2 linked regions of the Drosophila melanogaster genome follow. The protein of the gene in region 1 interacts with the protein of each later gene in a pairwise test. Each region holds a gene or a part of one and is shown on either strand. Other genes may lie near its edges. The genes, in order: ND-20 and promL.

Region 1 (7,446 bases):
TTGTAGCGACATTAAAAAGGATTTATTACTCAAACAGCTGTTCTTAATGAGCGGTATTACTCAAGTATTGGGGTTTTTAATTCTATGCGGGTTTAAAAGAGTTTACTAATTTAATATAGTTTAATTCCCAATTTCATACTGCATGTTTAATTTTTATGCACAATATAAAAACAACTGATTCATAAATTCATATTTTTCAAACATATATCCAAACATATAGATAATGCTTAACTAGGAGTGTGAAAATAATGATTTCACTTATTTTGATAAGATGTGACGCTGTGGAAACGCACCGAAAGCTTTAATACCAAACCAAAATTAGTAAGACCTTTTGTTTCGGTAATTACCATAGGATTGTTCCAATTATACTTCAAAACAATTGGATATTATGTTTAAAACACCACCCAGTCCTGCCTGAAAATAGTTAATAATATAAATATCCAACTAGCAAAGAAGACGAAAAGTTATGGCGGGAATGAATGAGTACTCTAGCCTAAAGTATGTAAAATGGTATAATATATAATCACGATGCCATACTAATAAACATCATCCATTTATAGATTTCAAGCGGAGTATGAAACGCACGATGATCACCTGGGCAAGGAGCATCGGACTGGGGACCGGGATCAACATTTACCCGTGACCTATGGCCCTAGCAAACACTTGGGAAGCAGGTACATCCGAAATGAATCCGAAATCAATTCATTTGTTAAATTATATAAATTCCCATTAATCAGCCTTGAAGAGCGCGAGAAGGCGATTGTGGACGTCGTCGGCGTACAGTGGGTCTCCCTGGTCACCGAGAACCTGCTTAGCCATCCGTTTGTGGTGCTGCGCCGCCAGTGCCAGGTGTACAATGCCTCGAGACGCTATCATTTGCATCCCTTTCAGCTTCTGCCCAGCATCGTCCACCTGCACAGAAGGCAGGGACTGACGACCCTGTGGAAGGGCGTGGGCAGCTGCCTACTGGTGCGCGGCATGACGCTGGCCATCGACGACTTTATCTCGAAGGTGACCAGCTGGCCCAAGGATGTGAATAGTCGCACCACGCTAAAGCGTTTCGGACAGCATCTCCTGCTCAAATGGTACCCACTTGACACCCTAATCTCGACCATTCTCTTATTCCTTTTCAATTCACAGCATAAGTATCGGCCTGGTGGTGCCCTTCTATGCAGCTTCTCTCGTCGAAACGGTGCAGAGTGATATTGCCAGCGAGAAACCCGGTCTATTCGATGTATTCCGGGAGGGAAGTCTGCGCTTGTTTTATTGGAGCTCTCCGCAAAAGGGCCGTATGCTACCAGCCTGGGCTCTAATCGGGCCAAGTGTCTCCTTTGGCATCACCAAGTATCTGTTTAATCTCGTGATACGGGGCGTGTCCTCACGCATAATGCGGCTTCGTATAAAGAATTCCCAGGACGGCCAGGGTGGAAAGTATCAGGACACCACGCTGGAACAACAGAATGCGGACATCTATGCCAGCCTTATTGCTATCATAACCACTGAGGTCATGTTCTTCCCGTTCGAAACGATTCTACACCGTCTGCAATTGCAGGGAACACGAACTATAATCGACAACCTCGACAATGGCTACGATGTCGTACCCATTCTAACAAACTATCAAGGAGTCGTCGATTGCTATCAGACAACGATTGTCTCCGAGGGAGTTAGTGGCCTCTACAAGGGCTTTGGAGCCATGATCCTGCAGTTTGCGGCACACGTGGCCGTCATCAAATTGACCAAATGGGTTGTGAATCAAATCGTAGAGGTCATCTCCAACCGACCACCACAGCGAATAGTGAATTACTATAATCTGGATGAGAATGCTTGCAACTCCAGGTCCACGACCTTGTCGCCAAGCCTTTCCAGTACCGAAATGGGGGAGATTAGTCTTGGGCAGAATTCACAAGACTAGTTAATGGCTAGTCAAATTATATTGCATATGTAAATTATACAAATATTTATTTCTTTTTGTATTTTTCGTTGGGTTTATTGGGACGTTAGCATGAATAATTGTATTTTAAGGGTTTGCTTACTCTGCAGTTGCGTTAAAAAAAAATCTGCCAATTAAAAAATATAACTATTTTAAACACTTTAAACTGAGCTTATATTCTTGCACTTTGTGTCCCGAAAACGTCAGGACCTTGAAATGAATACAGAAAAATTAAGTAAAAACAGCAGATTGTCCTGTGGTTGGTGCGATCGTTTCTATGACAACTAAATGATATGGTTGTGTATACAATTCACGATAAAAAAAAGAGGAAGGAGCCGTTAACTTCACGCTCATTTTGAAGGGAAACAAAACTTTTTTCGAATTCACGATTTTCATTACGACCGTTGGCAAACACACGTACGATTCAAGCTGACGTTTGGATACAGAAGCACAGCTTGAATGTTTGTATTTATATCGAAAGGCATTTATTTGCAATATCCTCGTGATCCAACAAACAATGTATACAACAACTGAACGTTAACAGAACGATATTTAATATGATTTCTGTTCGCAAAATCGTATGTCGTTTGATGTTTCACATTTTAAATATAAGTTCCGATCGTTGCCTTACTTCCTATACCACATCTGGAGCGTCTTCATCCGCTTAACCTTCTTCTGCAGCTGCAAAACGCCGTACATGAGCGCCTCGGCGGTTGGCGGACAACCGGGTACGTATATGTCGACGGGGATTATCCTATCGCAGCCACGGACGACGGAGTACGAGTAATGGTAGTAGCCGCCGCCGTTGGCACAGCTGCCCATGGAGATGACCCAACGTGGCTCGGGCATTTGGTCGTAGACCTTTCGCAGGGCCGGTGCCATTTTGTTGGTCAGCGTGCCAGCGACGATGATGACATCGGCCTGACGTGGAGATGCACGGAACACAACACCATATCGATCCATGTCGTAACGCGGAGCAGCGATGTGCATCATTTCGACGGCACAGCAGGCCAAACCGAAAGTCAGTGGCCAGATCGAGCCCTTGCGACCCCAGTTGAGCAGATCGTCCAGTCTGGCCAGTGACCACTCCGCAACGGAGGACTGTTTGGTGCCGAACGGAGAGTAGCCCTTCTTGGGCAGATTTTGGGCCACTTCGGCAACTGGAAGCGTTTGTTGTTGGCGCACCAGGGCCAAATTCAGAGCGGGCAGCGCCGAAATCGACGCATTCGGTGTCTGAGTCGCCTTTTGGAGAGCCCGGGACAGGGTCGATGACATCATCGCCGAACGCAGCATGTTGATCCTGCTAAAGTAAATCTGTAGTTATACTAGGACTGGGCATTTAAACATTTAATACCTATTTATGTAACTTCAACTTATTTCGATTTATAGGGGATGCGTATGATGTGACCGCCGCCGAACTACTAACTAAAATACCAAATGCACCAGGAAAATATACTATAAAATACGAATTTACTTTAGATATCCTATTCTCACACAAGCACATCACTTGCGGCAGCATGAACTTTATGCCCTTTTCCCACATGAACGCAATGGTTGGCTAAAAAAATCAACTTGCTTGAAGGTCATAGCTTAAGCTGACCAAAAGGCAAGTAAAAAAGTAGTTATTAATGTTTTTGTTTGCTTTATTTTGTAATATGTTGGTGTAATTCTATTGTTACAGCGGCTTGGGAAATGTTATGCAAACAATTGAATGGTAGTAAAGCGACGACTCAAAATACGATTAGCACTCTTAAGAACTAAAGATAAAAAAAACCACATGTTGATTTAACTCGCTAATTTATATTTCAGTTTGAATTGTAGATTATGCTTGCTCGCTTGATTTTCCCCCTTTTAAAATATTACTGGTTGGATTAGGGTAGCTGTTCTCTTTTTGATTCCTTTTAGATATCGTCGATGTTCACGTCGTCCTCGTCATCCTCGTCGCCTGCAACAGCGCGTGGAATTCCGCGTTGGACGACCCGTTGACCGCCACGTTGGCCGGCACTGGAAACGTAGTTATCCTCCTCGGATTCATCGTCCTCCTCCTCCTCACTTTCGGAGGACTCTTCCTCGGCATTCTTCAGCCAGAGAACGAATGGCATAGCTTTCTCGTGTATTTCGGCAGCAATATTTTTCGAGACATGTCGTTTGCTAACCTTCTGTGCCCACTCCAGTATGACGGCCTCATCGAGTATGTCCAGATCATAAAACAATTTGAAGATTCCAGCAACCTTGCTCATCAATATACCCTTATGCAGCTCTACAGTTTGCTCCACTCCACCAATTAGATAGCGCTGTGCTTTTGGATTATTGAGGGTGAAGCGAAGAAGCAAAGGGCGATTCTTCTGCACGTCCTTGATGATGTTTTCAGTGAAAAGCAGCTCGGCGAGAACCAATGGAGCCTTGTTAATAATATCCAAGCGTTCGGCTTCAATCACCAGCTCCTTGTGAGTTTGCACATCATCCAATTGCTTCTTGTCCCGCTTGTCCTTAACCAACTCGTAGAAAATATCAATGCGCTCCTTTTCAGTTTTATCATAGTCATCCGAAATAGTCATACCCTTAGCACCATCAGTCAGATCTTGCAAACGAGCACGAATAGCCTCCTACCGGGGTGGAGTAGTAATATACATATGAATAGCTCTTTAAGCTAATTGCGAGTATATACGGATTAAACAACGTACCTTCGAAACATCGACACTCCATCCCTCATCGTCGTCATCCTTGGCTGTTTTCTCCGGAATAGCTGCGCTAATCTCGGCCTCAGTTTGGCTAGCCTGATTTGTGCCGTTGCCGCCATCTGATTCACCGCCAGAGTTGTTGGCCAAAGAGTTATTGGTCATGGAGCCATCGGCGTTATCGTTCTTCTGCTTCTGTTTCCTCGAGCGTTTGCCCTCGGTTAGCGATGATCCTTGGGCGGCCGGATTCAATGACGGGGGGTTCTTCACAATGAATGTGTTCACTTTATGGTTAACCTTGAGCAGACCATGGAAGCCGCATGCCTTGCAAGACTGCGAAATGGTCTGGTTTTTGGCCGACACAGTTAAATTGGTCTCCGGATTGTCGCACTCGGGGCATAACACAAACTTGCGAATAAAACCATCCAACAAATCCTGCAACTTGTTCACATCATGCGATCCATTCACAACAAAGCGCTCATTCTGAATGAAATTAATAGTGATTAATGGGAGCATAGCTCATGGGTAACATAGGATATCTATCCGTGCACATACCTTGTGATCGAACAGCGTCTGGGCGCCCAGCTCGCAACCAAAGTACTTGGTTGGATAGGTGGCCGGGCGTCCGATGGCCCTAGCCACTTCCGCCATGTTGACCAGCACGGTCTTAATGCCGTTTCCTTTGCCCTCGACCTTTGCCTGCAGACGTGGCATCTTGTAGCGATAGAAGATGTCCGTCACACTGCGGTTTACGTTTACGGTGGCCATCTTGATAGGTTTTCGGCTCCACAGATAATGCTGATAATGGGTATTACTGTTGTTCGGGTAATGTTGCTACTGTTAGAGGTGGCCAGTGGTATCTATTGGTTATTGGTGGATGGGAAGTAATTGGCTTCAGGTTTTCTGCTAGTTTGTGATTGATCCAACTTTCGTTTCCGTTCATTAAATGTTCTTTTATTTTGAGTAGTTGCCGCTGCTGCTTACTTAACAAATGTATCCAGAATAAGCAGGAATTGGTGTCCTTCCGGAACGGCGAATTAATTGTGCTCTAATCAAACAACGGGTGTACTGAATATATTTGAAGAATCGGCCAGAATTGCTTGAGAGTAAGTTGTTTTTTTCTTCTTTTTTTTTTGCAAGGTTATGGCTTTGCTTTTATTTTGCTGAAGATTTTGTTTATTTTCGCCGTGGTAGGTATTCAGCTATTCTATTTTTTTCCGAATTCATATGAATAATTATATATACATATATATATACATATATATCTATATATATATTTGTATATTTATATATATATACATATATATATTTATTTATATTGTAAATTTACCAGTTTAAGTCTTTAAAAAATGGAGAAGGAGCAGGCTCATGTGTACCTGAATGGCTGTAACTTCCGATGTCTGTTACTCGAAGTCCTGCGAAGGCAAATATGAAATAGATTTGGTTAATCGAGTCGAATATGCAATGCTTATTACTTAATTATGCTAAGTTCTCTTTAAAAAAAAACCCACCGAAGTGCTGTTTCTACAGCGTATAATTTAATGCAATTTAGCACCACTTTCCCTTTGCTTGCAAATATAATCAATTCTTATCGGGTATTACAGTATTATGCATTTGGAGCCACATATGTGAGCCAAGGTAAAAAAGGCCCCTCGTATTAAACAGTAGCGAATTTAATTTGAATACCAGATTTTTTTATCGTAGAAACCCCGAGTGTGTGCATTGCAACAAAACGTCGTACGACTTGAATCAGCAATACTTAATGGTCTGGTCATCAGTGATTTGTGCTTACCGGTGATTTTTGGTTCGCCCTTTTGAATTCATGCACAGCTCGAACCCTTTACTCCGTTTTTTCTCAATGAGAAGTGTGGTTTTTTTTGCTGGTGTTTCTGAAAAATACAAATATAAAACGAAATGTAATTGCATTTAACGCACACGTTGGAAGCCAATAAAACTGCATTCGAATTGGAATTTGTACGGGACCTTATTGTATATTTGATGTTGCTTGAAACGTCAAAGCAAAAGTAATTGGAATCATTTAAAAACATAACACTGATTTGCACTATTTCGTGTTGCTGAGAGCCAAAAAAAAACTTATGGAACTGCTGGGTCTTAAAGCAGGGTCAATTTTAAAAGAAAAACATTCAGCAAATGGGTTAAGAGGTCGAGCGAGTATAAACTATTTTATTGTTTTGTTGTATCTTAGATATTAACTTTTGCAACCGGAAAATGACACTGAGAATTTCGTTAGGACCCCCCCTTGAATATATTCGTGTGTTTTCCCAACTAAATTGACGAATGTGACAAACATTTCAGTACGATTGTGATTCTTGTTCCCAACAGCCAATTATTAGCTAACTATGAGTAATTCTTTTATGTTACTCAAGGTCTGCCCTTTTATTATGTTTTATACGAGATTCTTGGGTAATATTAATAATAATAATATTATTTATTGGAATATAACGAAATTCAACGAATAAAGCTTGTCAAAGCACTTTTCAAGTGAATGGGTGTGTTACTAAATTATAAAACGAATCGCAGACATTATTTATTGCCCGATTATCGGTTTTCTATAGAACAGATGGCTTTAGAAATATCACGAAATGAAGTGAAGTCTGATCTGAAACTATGCATTTATTTATACGAAGTCTAAATCTTAATAGGTTTATATCTTATATAAACATATGCCATAATTCAGAAGATAAAGCATAATAAGCCACACAAATAAAATAAGAGAATGCAGTTGAATTCGCTGGATAACTTCTTTTTGCCTTTTACTTGTATCGCAATAGAAGTTTCTGGAATTCCTTTTTCAGAAACCATTGTATCCTTGCTTTT
Region 2 (18,249 bases), on another chromosome or scaffold:
ATCGTTGGATAGCTTATACAGCTGCTCGGACAGGGCGTTCAGGTTCATGGGCGTAAACTGGGTGCACAGACTTGGCATGTACAGGGAGCTATGGTACTTCGCAAGCTTGCTCTCGCCCGCTGTCTTTAACTCGTCACGTTCTTCCTTCGTCAGGAGTACCACGGTGGACAGGTCCTCGTCGAAGACCTTAATCGAATCTGTATTTTCCTGTGAGTGTGACATCACTTTTATGCGCGTCAGATCGTTGATGTCATATATGTTATGCTGACGCATCATATCGAAAATGGTCTGATTGGCGTGGCAAGCCTTGATTGCACTCGACATTTTTAGTGGTTGCACCACTTCCTTGTTACTTTCAGATGGCGGCAAATAGTGATTCAGATCTATAGACGCGTCCAGTTGCCGGAACAATGTGTTGTTCTCCTGATCTCTCAGTGGTGCACAGGCACCCTGGTAGGTTACCATACCCAGCATAAAGTAGAAAAGTCCAACCAGTGCGATGAAGGAGAAAACACAGAATATCAGCAGTATGGCTCTAAAATAAGTAAGCGTAATAATGAATCAATAAGCAGAACAGAATACGGTTAAAACTACTCACAGAAGCAGGCAGGTGGCTCCGGTGGACTTGCTGCAGCATTCATCACCATATCCAGTTCGTCGGCGCCCAAAGCAACCGCACAGTAGAGCAAAGATCAAAATAAAAAGTACCTAATTTAAGGGAATACGTTAGTTAAGACTTTTGATTGGAATCTTTAAGATCCGCCTTACCAGAAGAATAAGCAAGCACACAATCAGGCTGACAACGTTTCTATCATGGCCAAACCGCTCGTAGACGTCCTCGAATGACTTAGTCGAGTGCAGAGTTTTTATATGGATATCACTTAGTACTCCCTCCACAATGTTGCGCACATTCGTCGCATGTTCTCGGAAGATTGTCCTGCCCTTCGTTAAGTCCCGCATCATGGGTGGTACCACGAAGGAGAGTTGCGTCTTCACCTTGTCGCTAACCTTCTTTAGACGCGAGAGTCCCCGTTGAGGTATAGCGTAATACTCACTTGCAACTATATTCTCCATTCCCTCTACAAATTCTTTGGTGTTCGGGAGCTAAAATACGATGGGGTTAATAATTTTGTTATTACAAATTGAGTTCCAGTCATACGTTGTCGAAGTGCAGGCATTGCGAGGAATCAATGTGTTCGATATTGCTGCTAATCAGGAACTTCTGGCACATCTGCAGTTGACAGAGATTGGCCACTGCAAAGTTGACATCTCGTTTAATGCCACGGACGCCTGAAGTAAAGTGAATAGTTTTATTATTTACTGCAGTCTCTTTGACTTTTTTAAAAGTCCTTACCATCTCTTAATTGGGAGCCATAGAAGCGCAGATCTTTCTCCATCTTCTCCACTTGCCTCATCAGCTCCAGAGCCTCGGGCATGTTCTCCAAAACTCGCTCCATTTCTGCCAAGGAATTACTCTCCGATGTGTCGGAGAGATCCAAAAATATGTGCCGGTGAGCGTCTAAAAAAAAAGTATAATTGTTAAATAACTAATCAAAGGATTGCAGTCCATTATTATTTTTACGGGTTAATTGATCAAGCACATGAGTCTCCATCTCCTCGTAGTTGTACATCATCAGATGGTGAACGTGATCGGCTACATCCTTCAGATAAGTGCAAGTGTCCTCGCTGCCGCGCTTCATTGTCTCGGAAGTCTCGGCAAAGCCGCTGTCAATCATTTTGTTGGTAACAAAGGCGATAATGATGCCAAAACTGCAGAAGACAGATTATTTCGAATATGACTTTTCTTGGTTAAGTGCCTCCACTTACATCAGTCCGATGATGAGGATCAACAGACAGATGCCACAACAGAAGCGCCGCTGAGCATCCTGTTTACTGGTACACGGAGGACATCCCTGTCGACATCGTCGGCAGCAACAGAAACAGCAATAGCAAACGCTGTGGTGAACAAATATTGGTTATCTACGTTAATTGAATCAATGGTCTCAAAACTCACGCAATGAACGGTATGACTATAATGAGCACCACGAGAATAACAACCCAGATGAGAACCATCCAATAATGAGCCAATAGATCCCGCCAGTCATTCTCCTCCACTTTGGGACCCAAGCTCAAAGTGTCCGAATTCTTTACGACAATGTAACCTGCAATATTAAGAGAAATAAGTGTTTTATCCTTTATTTATCCAATGTGTACGTCACTCACCCTCCGGAATGGGTTCATCCCTATAAAGAACCTTGTCATATAGAAAGTGTGTAAAATTGAAAATGGGGTTCATGGCGGACGTGGGAGGTGGTGGTGCCTTTGTGTAGTTGGTTGTCGGCCGGTATACAGTGTACTGGACTGGTGGCCAATGGGGCTGGCCAAGCTGTTCGTGCGTGGTGCCATGGCCCACATATCCCTTGCGCCAGCTCCCGGGATCTGCATCAGCCTGGGCGGTTGTGGGCCGGATCAGCGTGGCCAAAGCGAAGCCGAATATGGCTACACTTAATCCACATATGGCCAGGTAGGCTATTTGTCGCCTACGACGCTGTCGTCTCTTCCGGGATCGCATGGATTTCGACTTGACCGCGGCCAGAGGCTCCACTGTGGCAGCTACTTCACCCATGGCCGACTGCTTTTCGAAGGACTTCCTGTCTCGGTGAAGCTTCCTCAAACTGACTAACGTGCTGAGCTGCTGCTCTTAATCGTGTTCCCTTCGGTGTAGTAGCCCACACCCATTTCACACGTCAGTGGCCTGCAATCAGGAAAATAGAATACAAGATTAATTAAATAGTTTAGTTTTAAGATAGAGCCACACTTTATTGTCAGCCATTCATATGATGATCTCAGTCATAAGCGGTATCCTGTAAGTGTATCTTTTCAAGCGACACCTATCGAATTAATCTTTAATCTAAATTCCTTTCGTTTTTTAAATGTAAATGGGCGAGGACAGAGCAGAGCTCACACCCTAATGTGGCAGTAGCATGTCCTCGTCCAATAAGAAATGCTTGGCCGGGGCAATAAAATATATTTGTTTCTTGGTGTGTCCAGGCAAATGGGGCATAATCCCATCACAGGCTTTGGATAGGATTGGTTCCACATTGCAATGCGCACACAAACACACACCCAGAGACAATCTCACATCCACTTGACATCAATTAAGGTCAATAAAAGCCGAGAAGATGACAATGGGTTCAGGCATTTGCTGCCCGAGAATGCAAGCCACTGGCGATACAAAGGACTGAGCTTCGGCTTTGGCACATTGCCCACCGTTGGCAGGTGTTATATCTCTGTCGGGGAGGTGAAAGTCCCTTTGGCGTCGGTTGAATGCACTTGTCCGTAGATCATGAGTCACCAGCTATGCTCGGAAGCATTGCGTGAGTCGCCTTGCATAATTACCCAACTATCAAATTACTAGCTTGGGGAAATATTCTAAATAGGCAAAACATTTGCAATATTTGCAATGTCAAAATAAAAAACAAAACAAAAAATGTACATGCCCCGAGTGAGGCTCGAACTCACGACCTTAAGATTATGAGACTTACGCGCTGCCAACTGCGCCATCGAGGCATGAACACGTTGCCGGCAAAAAGCAAACTTCTGCCAAAGGTTCTTATGTGTGCGAGTCCTAAACGCATAAATAAATATACCTACCTATATTATGTAGGTACATTTGTAAGGAATAAAGTGTCTGTGCGACATGTTTATTTAAAATTATCAGATAAGAAACTTGCAGTCTCTTCTTATCGATGTCGAATATGAAGCGTTATCTTGTTATCACGCTGTGTAATCACGTTAAAAAAAACACATTTGATTTTTCAAGCACAGGTAATTAATCAATATTTGATGTCAATAATGTCTAAATTAAATGTACAATTTTAAATGCACTTGCATTAACATTTTATCAAATGCTGAAATACTTTATTACTCAGATATTAGTCACATCCTCACCATTTATATGATCGTTTTAAGAACTTCCTAAAACCCATAAAAAGTACTGTGAATTTTTGATTAAAAATACTGAACACACGACTGCAGAATACTGGTTGGCAAGGCCAACTGACGATTTGCGTTTATAAATTATTATTTTTTTTATATAAGGAATTTGCTGACGGAGCTAGCATTTTCCGATCGCACTGCCTACTCACTATCAACTTTGCTCATATTTCCAGCATAGATCCAAGAATACGAATGAGTGTGCTCATTTGATACCCGCCACTGGCAACTGTAAATTTATGGCCATCGAGGCGAGCAACAAGCAGCAGTTACACTCATCGACTGTCTTTGCACCACAACAGCCATAGACAGACAAAGAAATCGACAAGTTTATTGAACTCTGTGGGCGAGTGGACAAGGGAAGCGGCCAAGGGTCTGCCCCCTCGGCTCGGTGGCTTTCCATGGCATTATGCTTTATAGCCTAGCCCTTGCGCCCTGGCCCCGTCGTGCCCCCAAACGGCGACAGAATGTAGTGTCGCAACACTATACGTATTTATATACACATTCGGAGCACTGCAATGCCGCCTGCTTATCTCGAGGTTGTCCCTCTTTTTCTTTACGAGCATACCCTGCTTACTTTCCGGAAAGAGCTGGATTACCAGACGTGTTGATGGCTGTGTAAAAATAGACGTTTCTGCGGACTGCACCTGCTGACAGGGTCTTAATGGCTGTCCAAAACAAGCGAGTGTTTGGTGTCGATTGCGTATACGCCGCGTTGTCTGGCTGGGAACAAACTAAAGGCGCTGGAAAACCGATGCTCCATTTGCTGCTATGCTGTAGGGCTGCGTTGCCACCGCTACTGTGCAGAAAATTCTCTATACCCCCATGGTGGGGCAGCCTTTGAACGGCCTTGACACGCGCTACGCTGCGGGCTGCGAACCAGAAGCCGCTCCTGCCCGAAGTTTGCTGCCATTCCCCTACTCGAAAATCTCACTTGGAAGGGAGCTCGCAGTACAATCGCAGTCCTGCTGAGTCCTAAGCATAGCCAGAGGTCGCGTCTCCTCAGCAATTTAGAGAAAACAAAACAATTTGCAGCCTCGGCTTTGCGGGAGGACATCATGGCAATCAGGAACATGCGCAGTGCGATTCTGCAAGGATGCTGCACTCCCTCGAACAGTGGGCGGAACAGGCAAACGCTCGGCAAGGCCACACGCAAAATGCCCTTAATTCCGGTTAGAGTTCAGTTTTACATAGTGCAAAATGCCCATAATAAACCACACTGTATATATAGTATGTTTGCATACATGTACAAACAAATATCGGCCACAATAAACTTCCAAAAAAAAGTTTGCAGTCTTATGGACAGCTGTTTTAAGTAAATACGATAGCTTTCACATTTGCATTTGTTTAAACATTTGTTTTTCAAACTAGGTTTCTATAGAATCGAAGAAATTAAAAGAACACATTCTAAATAATTTCCATGCATATATTTACCACAAAATCATTCAATATGAAAAATTCCAAACTTTCCGGAATATAAAAATCCTGCTATGGCAAGTAGGAGGTAAACAACTAAATTAAATGAAAAATTCATGGTGGTCATACCGACCAATAAAATTTTTATTATTATTTGGAAAATGGCTATAACACCAAAGCGAAGTAATGCTAATAATCGGGTAATAAAATGTACACAATTCTCGGAATTTGGGATCCAAATCTTATAAATTGCCAACAACACGAGTCGTAAAGTGTTTTTTAAATGATCTAAACTTTTGAAAGTAACAAGATCCAGACACAACTCTAATAAACTTGCTAGATTAATCAACTTTACTGTCTATTTACAAATAACAATACAACTAGAGCGATAAAAGGTATACAATTCGCAATCTGTTAATTTGCAGAACAAACTCAGCCGTAGAATGAATCAAAATAAACCAGATTATTCAAGCTTTAACGAGCTGTTACGAATTCAATATACCCATTGTCGTCAGTAGGTATTTGATATCGCAATACATTTTCCCATTTAGGTAAAATGAGTCAACAACAGATCGTAACAAAGGCAACAATCCATTTCTTGCAATTGAATGGCTTGTCTGTTCCAACCCAGCTGATTGAATCCAACTTGTTTTTTTTTCGCGAACGAGAGAAAGTTGACGAAGTTAAACAAACAAACTTATTTGGCGATACCCGTATTGGGTCACAGGCACGGACCAATAGAACGAGTGACCACTGTATCTGCGGAAACGCCAAGTGCAAGGTACTTCAAAATCTGCTGGCGGCTAAATCAGCAAAAAGTGGAATCCGAACACGATAAACTTAATGACGGTACCTGAGCGTCGGTTGCTTATGGCTTGTATAAACAAAAGAATTAAATACAAAGTGAAGGTTGCATTAATAACAACAATTACCGCTCTCCCCCTATCCATAGAGCCATAATCAATGCCAGTCCCGAAGAAAAATGGCTGAGTGGTAAATAAATATTTAAAAGAATTCCCATGAACGTAAATCGTCTGCAGTTATTATTGGAATGTATACTAGAATAAATAGGTTTTATGACGACCAATGACAGCAATCAGCATTGCTGATAACTTGGAATAATAAGTGGTCTAGCAGTTGTCAAATTGAAAACGTTTTCTTATAATGTCAGAGTTGAACATATTCCTTCAATTATCTAGTAATTCCGTTCTCAAGAACTCCGAGAGTTCTATGAAATGGATGCCATTAAGATTATTTTTACATAGACCATAAGTATATAGCAGCACTGAACTTTACTGATTTACGAGGCCGGAAAGAGTCTGAATCAGAGATAACCAAAGATGACACAATGACCCAGAGTCATCTTCAAATTCCAAGTGGGATGTGTGTGATTAATCTGTTTATAAATATAAAATTTTCCCCAGAAAAGTGCAGCTAACTTTTCGACCGAATTGAGAACACACACTTTGCAGCATCCACATCTTTTCATTTCGGACCGCCTCCGCCAAGTGACATCCACATCGAATTTGGAACAGCCGGCTGGGAGGTGGAGTCCATGGACGGCGGTTCGAGGCGAAAGACATCGCAAGAGAACAGGTTGCCCTGCCGATGGAGTGAAGTCGTGCCAAAGCAAAAACTCGTTTCTCGTGACTGACTCACTCCCCGATAAAAAGCGCAGAAAAATGGGCTAATCACACAAGCAGATACAAAGTAAACTTCTTTAGATGAAAACTGAACTGAACTGAACGAATCCAAACAAAGGAAGTCGGAGAAAAGGGGCGGAAATGAACTGAAAAGTTATAAAAAAAAGGTGCAGACGATCGAGAAGCAGTTCGCTATACTTTTAGGAAGAAACGGAAGCCATGTACACTGACAGAAACAGAAGATGCTCACGTGCCCGCAGATGCATTATATCATCTTGATACTGAAAGTTGAGTCAGCTTCATTGCTCAGCGAATCTGATATGAAGGTTGGCAAATTTCTTGCCAGCTTATCCAATCGCTTATCATATTGTAAACCTTGGATGAACTTGTGTCCATTTTCCGTTTGTCTTCGGATTTCGACCAGCGTCATAAGTTCTCCATTTGCGTTTGGAGTATTTGATTAATGATTCGAAACTCTGCGCTTATCTCTGCGTTTTCATATACATAAATAATAGTACAGTGTTTGTTATTATGTTTATAACTTTCATCTCGGATTTAGCATTCTACATATCTTGTTTATTAGTGCTATTTGAGCAAGTGGCTTTACATTTAATTATTTATACCCAGACTTGTCATTCTGGAAACGTTATCCCTATTTGCATTTTTTTATTTTTGGAATTTGAAAATAGTCATGCAAACCGCTTAGTCGGTTAGAATCAACTTGTTTGGTTTGCTTTAATGTTTATCTTACTTTAATCCTAAACAAAGCAAAAACAATCGCTTACTGTTGAAAGTCATCTGAGCTTTTTGACTATTTTTATTTTGATTATTTTTTCTCGGCTCAACTTCGAGCTCGAATTTCGAATGAAATCAACAAATGCTTCCCGTTTTTGTAAAGATTAGATTTATAATTCTGCCTATTCAAGCTAAATCTATCACGTGGGGCTTTTTTTCAGAGTCTGCTTCCAAGTTCTGCAAAGTGTGTGGCTGGGAAATGATAGAATAGACCCCGAAACTCTATAAATACACGGATTCCGCTCGGCTGGGTGTCGTTCCCACCACACGCACTTGTATCTCAGGTCAGGGATGTGTGGCACATATCTACACCGAAATATATGTATAGTGTATATACATCTGCGGGTGCGTGTCTATGTCTGCGGGAGTTCCTTTTTTGAGTGTTTTGTTGGGATGGAGCAATTAGTGCAGTGCCGCCAGGTGGGATTTCTGGGCGAGAAGGGAGGGCGGAGCATACATTTCGAGACAGGAAGGGCGCTATACCTACTAATTCGACACCGCAAATTGAATAACTCGCTTCTCGGGCTGGGTAAATTGAAATAAACAGCATAAATGAGCCGACGGACACTCACCAACATCGACAACCGCCGCCTAAGCCAATTAAGCTGGCTGTTGGACTCGGGCACGTGAAAGATGATGATGATGCGACGCGGCGTCCAAATCCAATTAGCCGTAGGATCCAGCGATCGGTGGCAGTTTCAGACTTCCAGGCTCGTATCCCCCAACGGATGCTGGAAGGGAAGCGGAGGATTACGTCGCCGGACTTTCAATAAAACACCCAATTTGGACAGCTAAGAGTGCAGCTTGTTCAACTTATAAAAATGACTTGGGCTTCGTTTTACAAAACTAATGGTTGTTCGTGTTAAATCGTGTAAAATTCCAGTCGAATTTGGGGTAATATTAACAGATAAATCAAAACCGTTGGGAAAGTTTGTTGAACAAAGAAAAAACAACAAAAATTAAGGTCGCTGGCGCAACGAGGATTTCCCACTTTTCCAGCTTCCAGTGGCCCTTTTGGCCTAATTGGAGTTCTTGGTAGCAAGTTCCATGGAAAACATGGATATTTTATAATCCGAAGTAAGTCTCTTTAAGCGATTTTAAAACGAGCACGCACACACATGTTGTACATATACTTATATACATATATATATATATATATATATAGTTGGCGTTGTTTTTGTATGTATCACTGCACTGCACCGCCCTTTCGAAACATTCTTTGTTTGCCAGTTACACCTGGCGCTTGTTGTGATTTTCACTCGCTTTTCATATTTTCCCGTGGCAGTAGGCGTGGCCAATCGGGTTTCAGTCACGCGAAGGCACGCTCCATTCAGACTAGATCCGCCCCGGATGTTCACCTTTTCTATTCCAAATTTATCCGATCGAAAAACTTCGCATTTCAAAGAGTTCTGGACCAATGTGACAGTGCGCGGAGCCAGGGAATACCCGTTCGTGGCTTATATAAATGCGCAAAAATACGCCGAAATTAAATACTAAATGTATACCGGAAAACCGACGGAGCCCTGGAAGAATACTATAAAAAAACCGTTAACCGGAGACGCAAATCATAACCGGAAACTAAGTTTAAATTCAAATTTTTTTGGATCTTGTTTCTGTAATGCGACACAATGCGTAAGGAGTATATAAATTAAGATTTAGCTCTTTTAACCACAGTTCCCACAAATTAGATTCAATACTTAGCCTCTTCCTTTTCCAGATATAGGAGTCTCGAATTCATTGTACTAGCGTTTCATTAAACAATTTTGTTTATTTTGGTTTCGTTTAAAACACTATGTTAGACGTTAAATAATTTACAATCAAAATTTGGATTCAGTTTTCTCGTATATGTACCCCCGATTTTTCTTCCGGGGGCACTACTCCATTGACCACCTGTCGTCCACTGCTCACACGGGTGGATGTGTATGTACGTACGTCCTATGTCTGCATGTTTTCATTTATGGGAGGGGGAGGAGCAAGTGGGGAAGTTTTACACGATTGTAGCAACATCGAAAAATATAACTTTGATATCTATGGTACTATACTATACATACACATGCACGTGTGCTCCCTACACGTTCAAGCATTGACTTTGTTGAAGGCTCTGCATTAAGTTGCGTTATTATCAAAATAAAAACTATAGCGTTGCACATGATCGGAGGCGTTAACTTCGCAATCGGCTAAATTAAAAACATTCGTTTTGTGTCGTCAGTACCCATACATATATCTCTCTATTTATATATATAAATATATATACATATTTATTTTGTATATACCTTGTGGTTTGCGGTTAAAGTCGCCTAGTTTGTGACCAAATTCATCATAATTTGCAATTCATTTCATTAGAGTTTAGACTTTAAATCACTACGATTTTCAAAGTAAAGCTTGGTATTCAGTTTATTTGGATTTTCCTCTTCCTAATTGTTGTAACTAAACGGCTTTGGGGTGAACTAAATTAGTAATGCGATTCGATATTCGGGATACAGTATTGTGCTGTGCTGAATTTACGCGATTTCATTCAAAGATATCGGATTACACTTACTTGGTTTTTTTTTTGTTATTATTTGGCAGTTATTTTGTTGTTGTTGCAAAACATTATTAGCTCTAGCAGTGATGTAATCCCAACCCAAAGAGAACCAACAGTCGCAAAAGCATTGCAAACGGAAACAGAAGCCAGAAGCTGGAAAAGCGGGCAAGCACACGGGCCAATCGAATCGAATATATGTGACTACGTTACTTAGGCAATAATAAATTAATTACGAAATATAATTGGGCTGAGGTGGTTTGTGGTGTGACAAGGTGCGTTGTGGAAACTAAGGTAAAACGAAGATCTAACCATCAAAACAATAACATTATCTCGGCCTGATCTGCGATATATATGCACCTAATAGAATAGACTCGGAAACTAAAGCCAAACTAGTTACAGCATTTGTTTACAGTTACAAAATCCTTAACTCCTTAACACTGCTTATACGTATCTATAGCCACCAGCTGGGTTCAAGTTGTGTGGATAGGACGCCGGCAATGGAGCGCACTACAGCTGCGCCAGCGAGTCGGAGCGAATGAGCGGCGCCAGTGAGCTGGGCGCCTTGTGACCCGGCTCAATCTCGTACTGTACGTCTAGCGAGGCACCTGCGAAAGATCGGAATGGAAAGTCAGCACAGTGTTTTTCACATCACTGGGAATTTTATTCATGACTAGGTTGCAATTGGCGCATCTTGCTCCGGGACAATGGGTGGGAAGATGGTTAGATGGCTTGGCGAACTTATCAACAATGGCGTCTGTGGACCCTTACGTTTCTTTTCCAATGTGGAGGTCTGCCCCTCCGGAATGAACGCGGACACTATTATGGCACAGAAGACGCACAAGGCACCAAACACGAAGGGCGGACCTGGCACATGCTGTGAGATCTTCTCCACGTTCGTCGCCCTGCTGCCGCTGCTCTTCGCATGCGAGTCGTGGTCGTCGTTCAGATCGACGTTAAACAGGTAGAAGACGACGCCGAAGACCGCAGGACCCAGGCCATTGCACAGACCCCTCATGCCCGTGATCATGCCCTGAACAGCGCCTGAAATTGTGACATTTGATTCAGCTAAGATCTTTCGAATGGAGCAGTTCAAGCCCTTTTACTTACCCTGACTCTCGGGAGCCGCATAAAGGGATACAAAAGCACTGATGGCGGGATACGTGATGGAGCCCAGGGCAGCCACAACGCCAGCCGACCACATCATCCTGAATAAAGAAGCGGGATTTAATTTAGATGATATGCCTCTAAGATATTTGAGATATTTATTACTCACCACTTTTGACTGCCAAAGCCGTACCACAGCAGCTGCACGATTTCCAGGGCTAGGCCCATTATAATCGTGCGCTTGGCTCCAAACACTCTGCGAAAGAAGCATGTAATTAGCCACCGAAAAAATCATGCTGAAGAAATTTAAACTCACTGCATGAAGGAGCCGAGTGTGACTTGCACCGTGATGCTGAGGATGCCTACTATGGCTATAAAGACCGAGACCTCCACATAGTTAAAGCCCATCTTCAGTTTCAGATAGACAAACATGCAGGAATACTCCCCTGCCTCGGGCAGATAGGATAACAGCACGGTGAGGCACAGCATCAGCACGGTCTTATCGGTGCCCACTTTGCGCAGGGCCTAAAAAGAGCACAGTGTCATAAAACTAGTTTGAGAGAATTCAGAGGTTAAAGCTTCAGCTTACCAGAAATGGATCCGCCTGCTCCCAGCTGATAGGCGCACCCCAGGAGGCTGGCCGCATCTTCTCTGATAGACTCTCCGGCACGGCCACCAGTATGAAGAATACATCGAGCAGCGCAATGGCCGTGGAGAGGGCCACGACCAGCGTGTCTCCGTACATCTCCATCAGGGCATTGCCCAGAGCCGGCGAGATGACCAGACTGGCGGCAAATGTGGCCGAGGCCAGGCCATAGGCCTTTGATCGCTCCTCCGGCGTGGTGACGTCCGCCACGTAGGCAAACACCACCGAGAAGGTGACTGCGAAGGCGCCGCTTATTGAGATCATGGCAAAGAACCACCACGTATTGATGGACATCAGCGGTATGGGCAGGCAGGTGAAGAATACTGTGACTAATAGGAAAAACTTTCGGCCCCAGATGTCCGAAAGGGCGCCGATCAGAGGCGCCGACAGGAACGACAGGATCCCCTTGATGCCCATGACCAGGCCGTTCATTAGGAATGTGTGATCCGGGAACGTCTGGTTGAGAGTCTGTGCGAAAAAGAGGAAAGAGTTAAAATCTGATACGTATATAAAACATATATAGTTATATAGTTAGCTCACCGATATTATGGGCATCGTCAGCAGGCCCCAGGCGAAGAACTCTAGAAATATCACAACCAGCGCATGATGAACACTCGGCTCCCCGATTCCGGAACTCTGTGAAATTAGAAATTAGAAAGCTCATTAGTAATAATTTAGATATCTATCGGCTAATTAAAGTGACGCGCCCGCTGCCAATTGGCATAATAGCAGGATGCACTGGCGGACGCACCCATGCGAGTGCGTCATCGTTTTGAACCCAACCAGTTGATAAGGCGACGACAATGCCGCGTTAACCCTTTGAGTCCCCGGCCAATTGCTGGCCGCCTTTATTTGTAAACATTTGAGTCCCGCGTCAGCTAAAAACAAATTGTACTAAATGCGAAACTGTTTGAGCTCGTTAACTGCACCAATGTCACCCGAGTCCGGCTGGCCATGGATTCGGAATGCCGGCAACTGATTTGTTTTGTCGCGCTTCAATAAATGGAAAACGAAACCCAAATGATTTCGGTTAATATTTAAACTAGTCAAGAAGCTTTCATTATGATCAGAAAAGATCGAATAAGGAAGAATATATTGTAATTAAATATAATAGCTACTCGGGTTAAAGGTGACTCTTAATAAGTCCCTATTGAATTATTAATTACTAGCGCTAATTAACTGGAAACTTGTATTGTTGTATTGAAGAGAATGACATCTAATGAGGCTCAGTATTTACTGAATTCAATTAACTAGAAAACTAAGTTAATAACCGGAGCAATCCGATTGTTTCTTAATTTTTAGTTTCGTTAATATCCCACTTATTTTAACGTAGAAATATTGACATGATTTATCTACTTTGGAGCTTTTAAATAAATAACAAATAACAAATAGTTTTTTCTTTAACAATATTCTCCATCAAAACAATAATTTTCCATGTTCCAATTAAATGTGGACAAGGTCTTGAGATAAGCGTTATCTGTTAGATAAATTAAACGTTTATCGAGTTTATCTTACATATGGTACATCTTATCTGGCTATTGTGAAAGAAACCCAATTACACAGAAGTTATTTGAGTCTGAGTAATTATGTAAAGCCCTTTAAAAAATTAGATTATTCATAATAATAAACCTTAAGTGAACTTGTAGCTACATTACCTATAACAAGTAACATCAGTGAATGGAATTGTATATCAGTAAATGGGTTAACTTAACTGAAAAGTGTGTGTTTTTTATGAAATACCTTGCAGCAGCAGATGTTGCACACAACGCGAATCCACTCGAAGAAGCGGTTACGCTTTGGTCGCTCCGGAGTCGCCTCCGAGTTGCCGCCCTGCGATCTCATCGAGATGTAGGAGGCGGCCGAGTGGGTGCGCCTGTGGGCGGCTCCTCCGCTACCGCCGCACACTCGGCCCGATCCCGACGACGCGGTGATCGCCGTCTCCGCGAATGCCGCGCTGGGATGTGCTGCTGCAGCTGCATACCGCGAAGTCTGCGGGGATGTGGAAGTTGAGGAGGAGGAGGACGAAGATGAGGGCGGGCTCTGCCGCAGATCGCACCCACTTACCGTGGGCACATCGTCCGCATCGGGCTGCTGACTGCAGCTGGAGCTGGAGCTGCTGTCCGCCTGCTCTGCCTGCTTGTCCTTCAGCGGAGAGTGACGCTTGACCAGCTGATTGCCCCGACCGCCAAAGGCGGGTGGTGAGAGCGGCAGGGAGCTGATCGTCTCCACATCGGCCACGTCCGCCGTTGTCGGCGTGGAGCTGCTGCTACGCGTGCTCAGACTGTCCGTCTGTTCACCCGACTCCTGCCGCTCTCGATCGGCATCCCCATCCCGATCTGTATCTCCGTGCGCCGATGGTTCTCCCTTGATTGCCACCGGTGAATTGACCTGTTCCGCCTCGGAATCCTCCAGCTCGAAGCTGCTCTCCAACGTGTCGCTCTGCCGCTGGCCATAGCTCCGCCCGCTGCGCATGGTATCGTGATCCGTTTTAGCTGCGTGTCTCCCTCTTGGTTTCTAGTGCTTCTGTGGGTTCGCTTATCACACTAATTTCCATTGCCACGGGTCCACGAACATGTGCGATGTGCGGTGAGTGGTGATGATGATTTCGGCTGTGATTTTGGGGATACGATCCGTTCCACTGCTCTGCACTCCACCACTCCGTTTATCTCCTCGTTTCTGCGGCGATCGAAGCGATGTTCTATCTTATCATTTGTTTGGCTTAAACACGCTGTTTCCGCTGGCAACGTTTCACTTTGAGGCACTTCTCTAGCTGCAATTAAAGTTGGCCAACCGAATGGCTCTTACTCATTTGAATTCATGCGAAACGCGCGATTTGCTTTCAGCTGTTCCCTAGGAATATTAAGTTGGCAAAACAACACACTAAAAACATCGCCGTACTGAACACTCTTGTTTGTTTGTTGTTTAATGAAAAACCGTTTAAAAGTTGTATGCAACTACTAGAGTAAATTAATAACTCGAAAAATATGTGTGATTTATATTTGGAAAATGATTTTAATCCTTAAAGGCGCCGCAAAGTATGCTGCTTTTTGTCGGAATCTAAATGTGTTATCCACACTTACTTGGCCCAGAAAAAGATAAAGATCGCGCTAAAAGCCACTTAATGTCAGTGCTTTGTGGCGATTTTAACACCCTGGTGTAAATCGCAGTCGCAAGCTTGGATAGGCTCGAAAGTAGATCGATCAACATTAGGGAAATGAGCAAACGAAGCAATTTAAATCGAGGCACATCAAAGTGAAATGAATGGAAAATCAAGTCGGCGCTGCCTGGCAGTTCACAGCAATTTTCCGGTCATGTCAGATGGGTCGAATTATTTCTGGGAATTGTCCGGTCCGCAGAACGTGGAATAAACAATCACATACCCGCCGACTTTTGGATGCCTGGACTCACGTCAGATCACAGCGATTCACACCACGCGCGCGAATATCGATCTCTGAAATTTCAATTAAATCGACTAACGAAAAAAAGTCACCTAGAATTTTGACAAACATGTGAATCAAAAACATCTCCAACTGTGACGCTGTCGATATCGAGATTGTTCCCCCCCTCAAAAAACCAGCGACGTCTGCTGCGTTTCGATGTGCGCGACTCACTAAATTGGATCGCTTGGGCACTCGGTTCTCCAGCCCACCGATTCGCCAGTTCTCCGGTCTTCCAGTGAGCGGAAGCTCGGCAGAGCAACAGAGAATCCCAGAGAGAAACACATGTCCACCTGCTGTGAAGCTTATTTACAAAAGAGTCACAAGCAGAGGCACACGATAGAGAAAAGATACTTGAACTTGAAGTATCGAATGAAAGATATCCATTGCAATTTGAATACATTTTTCGTTTTAAATACAAGTCCGAAATATAAATATATATAATATATATAAAATATATTTGCATTATATGTTTGCATTTGGGTTGTTTAAATGTTAATTATAAACGAGAGTATGATCAAATCAAAACATTAGTTCCAAGCACACGTACTTTACAGCCATTGTGACTTACAAAGTTTCAAATTCTATTAAATTAACAATTCTATTATCCCAAATGGCAAAAATACCCCTCACAAGCACAATAAAATGCCCAAAAGCAATTGTCGCACATATCACATAGATGAACTTGACAACGATGATGAAAGTTTCGCGTTAAAAGCAAATGAGCAGTGCTCCCCAGTACAATGGAAATGTTTTTGCTATCCGACCACATGGATTTTATTGTTATCAAGCACTCTGGAATTATGCTGGCTACTTGTGTTGGCTCAATAAAGTCTCAGGATGACGGAGCCGAAAAGATCCGATGAGGTTGATTTCGGGGGATTCTATGCTATAAAACATGTAAACATACATAAACTACAGTGCGTGATATTGAAAGGCAAATTATTTCAATAATAAATAAATAAACATATTACATATATTTACAATGAATAATAATACAATGAAATAATAATACAATGAATAAAGTTGTTTTTGCCTAGTTATCTATAAATATGGTACGCCAAAATATGTAAAATTCTCATAAGAACGAAATGGATAAGTTCGCGAACTTGACGCGCATAAATCTCAGCCGCGTGCGTGGAATTAGCTAGATGAAACCCATTTAAACCGAGCTGGTGATGGTGACCTGACCCCGCCGGACCGGGCAGTCCGTGAGAAAACGGCAATCGGGTCAAGTGCAGGCCGGGAGACCGAAGGCGCTTCAGAAATTCAATTTCCGCGACTGGCCAAGTGACAAGGGATTGGACTTGGACAGCCTGTTGTCCGAGAGGGAAACGCCAGCTGCCAAGTCAATCATGGGGAGAATGAACCGGAGGATCTGCACCCCCCCCCCCCCCCCTTCCAACACATGGGCCTGCATGTGTCGCATCAAAAGGCATTAGGAACGACCTTGACAGGAGCGTCGAAAAGTAAAACAACAGGACGAACGGGAGGGAACAGGCATCCGTTTTCGTTTTGCAGGCACGGCAAAAAAAAAAAGCAAAACAATGGAAAAAAGCTGACAACAAGTCAGCACGATGGCGTAACGATTTGGCAAGAGACATGCTGGAAAATACATTTCCATGTTTTCCTTTCATTAATGTCACAAAAAAGTGACTAGCTAGTCGTTTGTCGCTGGGCTGGGCACTGTCAAATTGAAAAGCCGGCTAAAACGGGCTGTGAGCTAACGACTGGTGGCTATAACGTGCCCTCGACTGAAATGCGTTGCGAATTTTTGGTTTGGTTTGCTAATTAATCTTGCCGGTCATGGGCAATCCATCCGATGGGTTGCCCTCCCGCAGGACACGCAAAAATTCAAATGGGAAAAAGGTTGGCAGGGTCAAGTTGGGGGCCACTCAGGTATTCGCAGGCCAGCGAAATTTGTGATACGATCTGAACTTCATTAAAATGCATTTAATGCCACTGAAAAAAAAAATATTCTCTATAATATATTGTTAGGCTGAAAACTCGTGCACTTGCATCGGTAGGCAAATGATGTTAGTTTAGAAATTCAAGCCTGTACATTTGTTTCAACTTCATTTGAGAGAATCCAATAATATGCAAGGAATGCTTTCATAAATCGGCATTTTATTCAAATTTCGTAGATTGTGTTTTGGCGAAGTTACAACTTGCTCCACATTGAAATTTTGCGCTCGTGGCGCACTTGATTTCGATTTGGATTTCGCAATAATGCCAAGACCACCAGACAATGGCCAATAACTGGCAACTCCATTGTTGTGGCTTATTGAAAAGTAGGCCAAAGCCCGAGGCTCCAAGGACACCGAGCACTGGCGGCACAGGCAGCACAGAAGTTGCCCCAAAGTGGAATATCCTGCTACCCGATTCCTTCTGCTTGCTTCCTGCCACATGCCAAGTCAGAGATTATCGCGCGTGGGTCCCTGGGCTGGCAGGTGCTTGAATCCTTAAGCATAGGAATCTGGCGGGACCCAAGGACTGTCGCAATTTTAATTAAAAACGCTCCAGCAGACCTGACAAATCAATCAGCGGCACTTTTGGCAGGGGTAAGCAACCCAAAAGCCGGGCATTAAAAGCAAACAATAAGCGGAATTCCATTCCATTAAATTTCCTTCTTCTATGCGGGCTTATTGTTTCAAAAGTGTGGGCAGAGGGGTTTTAAGATGTAACTTT

The links.
Region 2: the proteins of ND-20 (region 1) and promL interact in a two-hybrid assay, tested with the Drosophila melanogaster proteins (one study listed by BioGRID).

Annotation. Positions count from the first base shown.
Region 1 is NC_004354.4:15,983,454-15,990,899, forward strand, and holds ND-20 (NADH dehydrogenase (ubiquinone) 20 kDa subunit), read right to left. Parts: upstream 3,356-7,446; 5' UTR 3,285-3,355; exon of another isoform or gene 3,231-3,284; 5' UTR 3,224-3,230; coding exon 2,558-3,223; 3' UTR 2,020-2,557; downstream 1-2,019. Other genes in the region: Slc25A46a (solute carrier family 25 member 46a), read left to right, coding at 467-498, 561-674, 738-1,085, 1,141-1,912; eIF5 (eukaryotic translation initiation factor 5), read right to left, coding at 3,832-4,536, 4,615-5,091, 5,164-5,376; CG46312 (uncharacterized protein), read right to left, coding at 5,975-6,023, 6,401-6,497.
Region 2 is NT_037436.4:3,118,445-3,136,693, forward strand, and holds the start of promL (prominin-like), read right to left. Parts: upstream 9,281-18,249; 5' UTR 9,209-9,280; intron 8,773-9,208; exon of another isoform or gene 8,582-8,772; 5' UTR 8,423-8,581; intron 4,722-8,422; exon of another isoform or gene 4,574-4,721; intron 3,571-4,573; exon of another isoform or gene 3,498-3,570; intron 2,756-3,497; 5' UTR 2,627-2,755; coding exon 2,224-2,626; intron 2,163-2,223; coding exon 2,015-2,162; intron 1,957-2,014; coding exon 1,828-1,956; intron 1,771-1,827; coding exon 1,583-1,770; intron 1,520-1,582; coding exon 1,355-1,519; intron 1,291-1,354; coding exon 1,160-1,290; intron 1,105-1,159; coding exon 769-1,104; intron 709-768; coding exon 599-708; intron 536-598; coding exon 1-535. Other genes in the region: CG11537 (uncharacterized protein), read right to left, coding at 10,882-10,979, 11,143-11,415, 11,482-11,579, 11,648-11,734, 11,795-12,003, 12,068-12,592, 12,665-12,760, 13,865-14,596.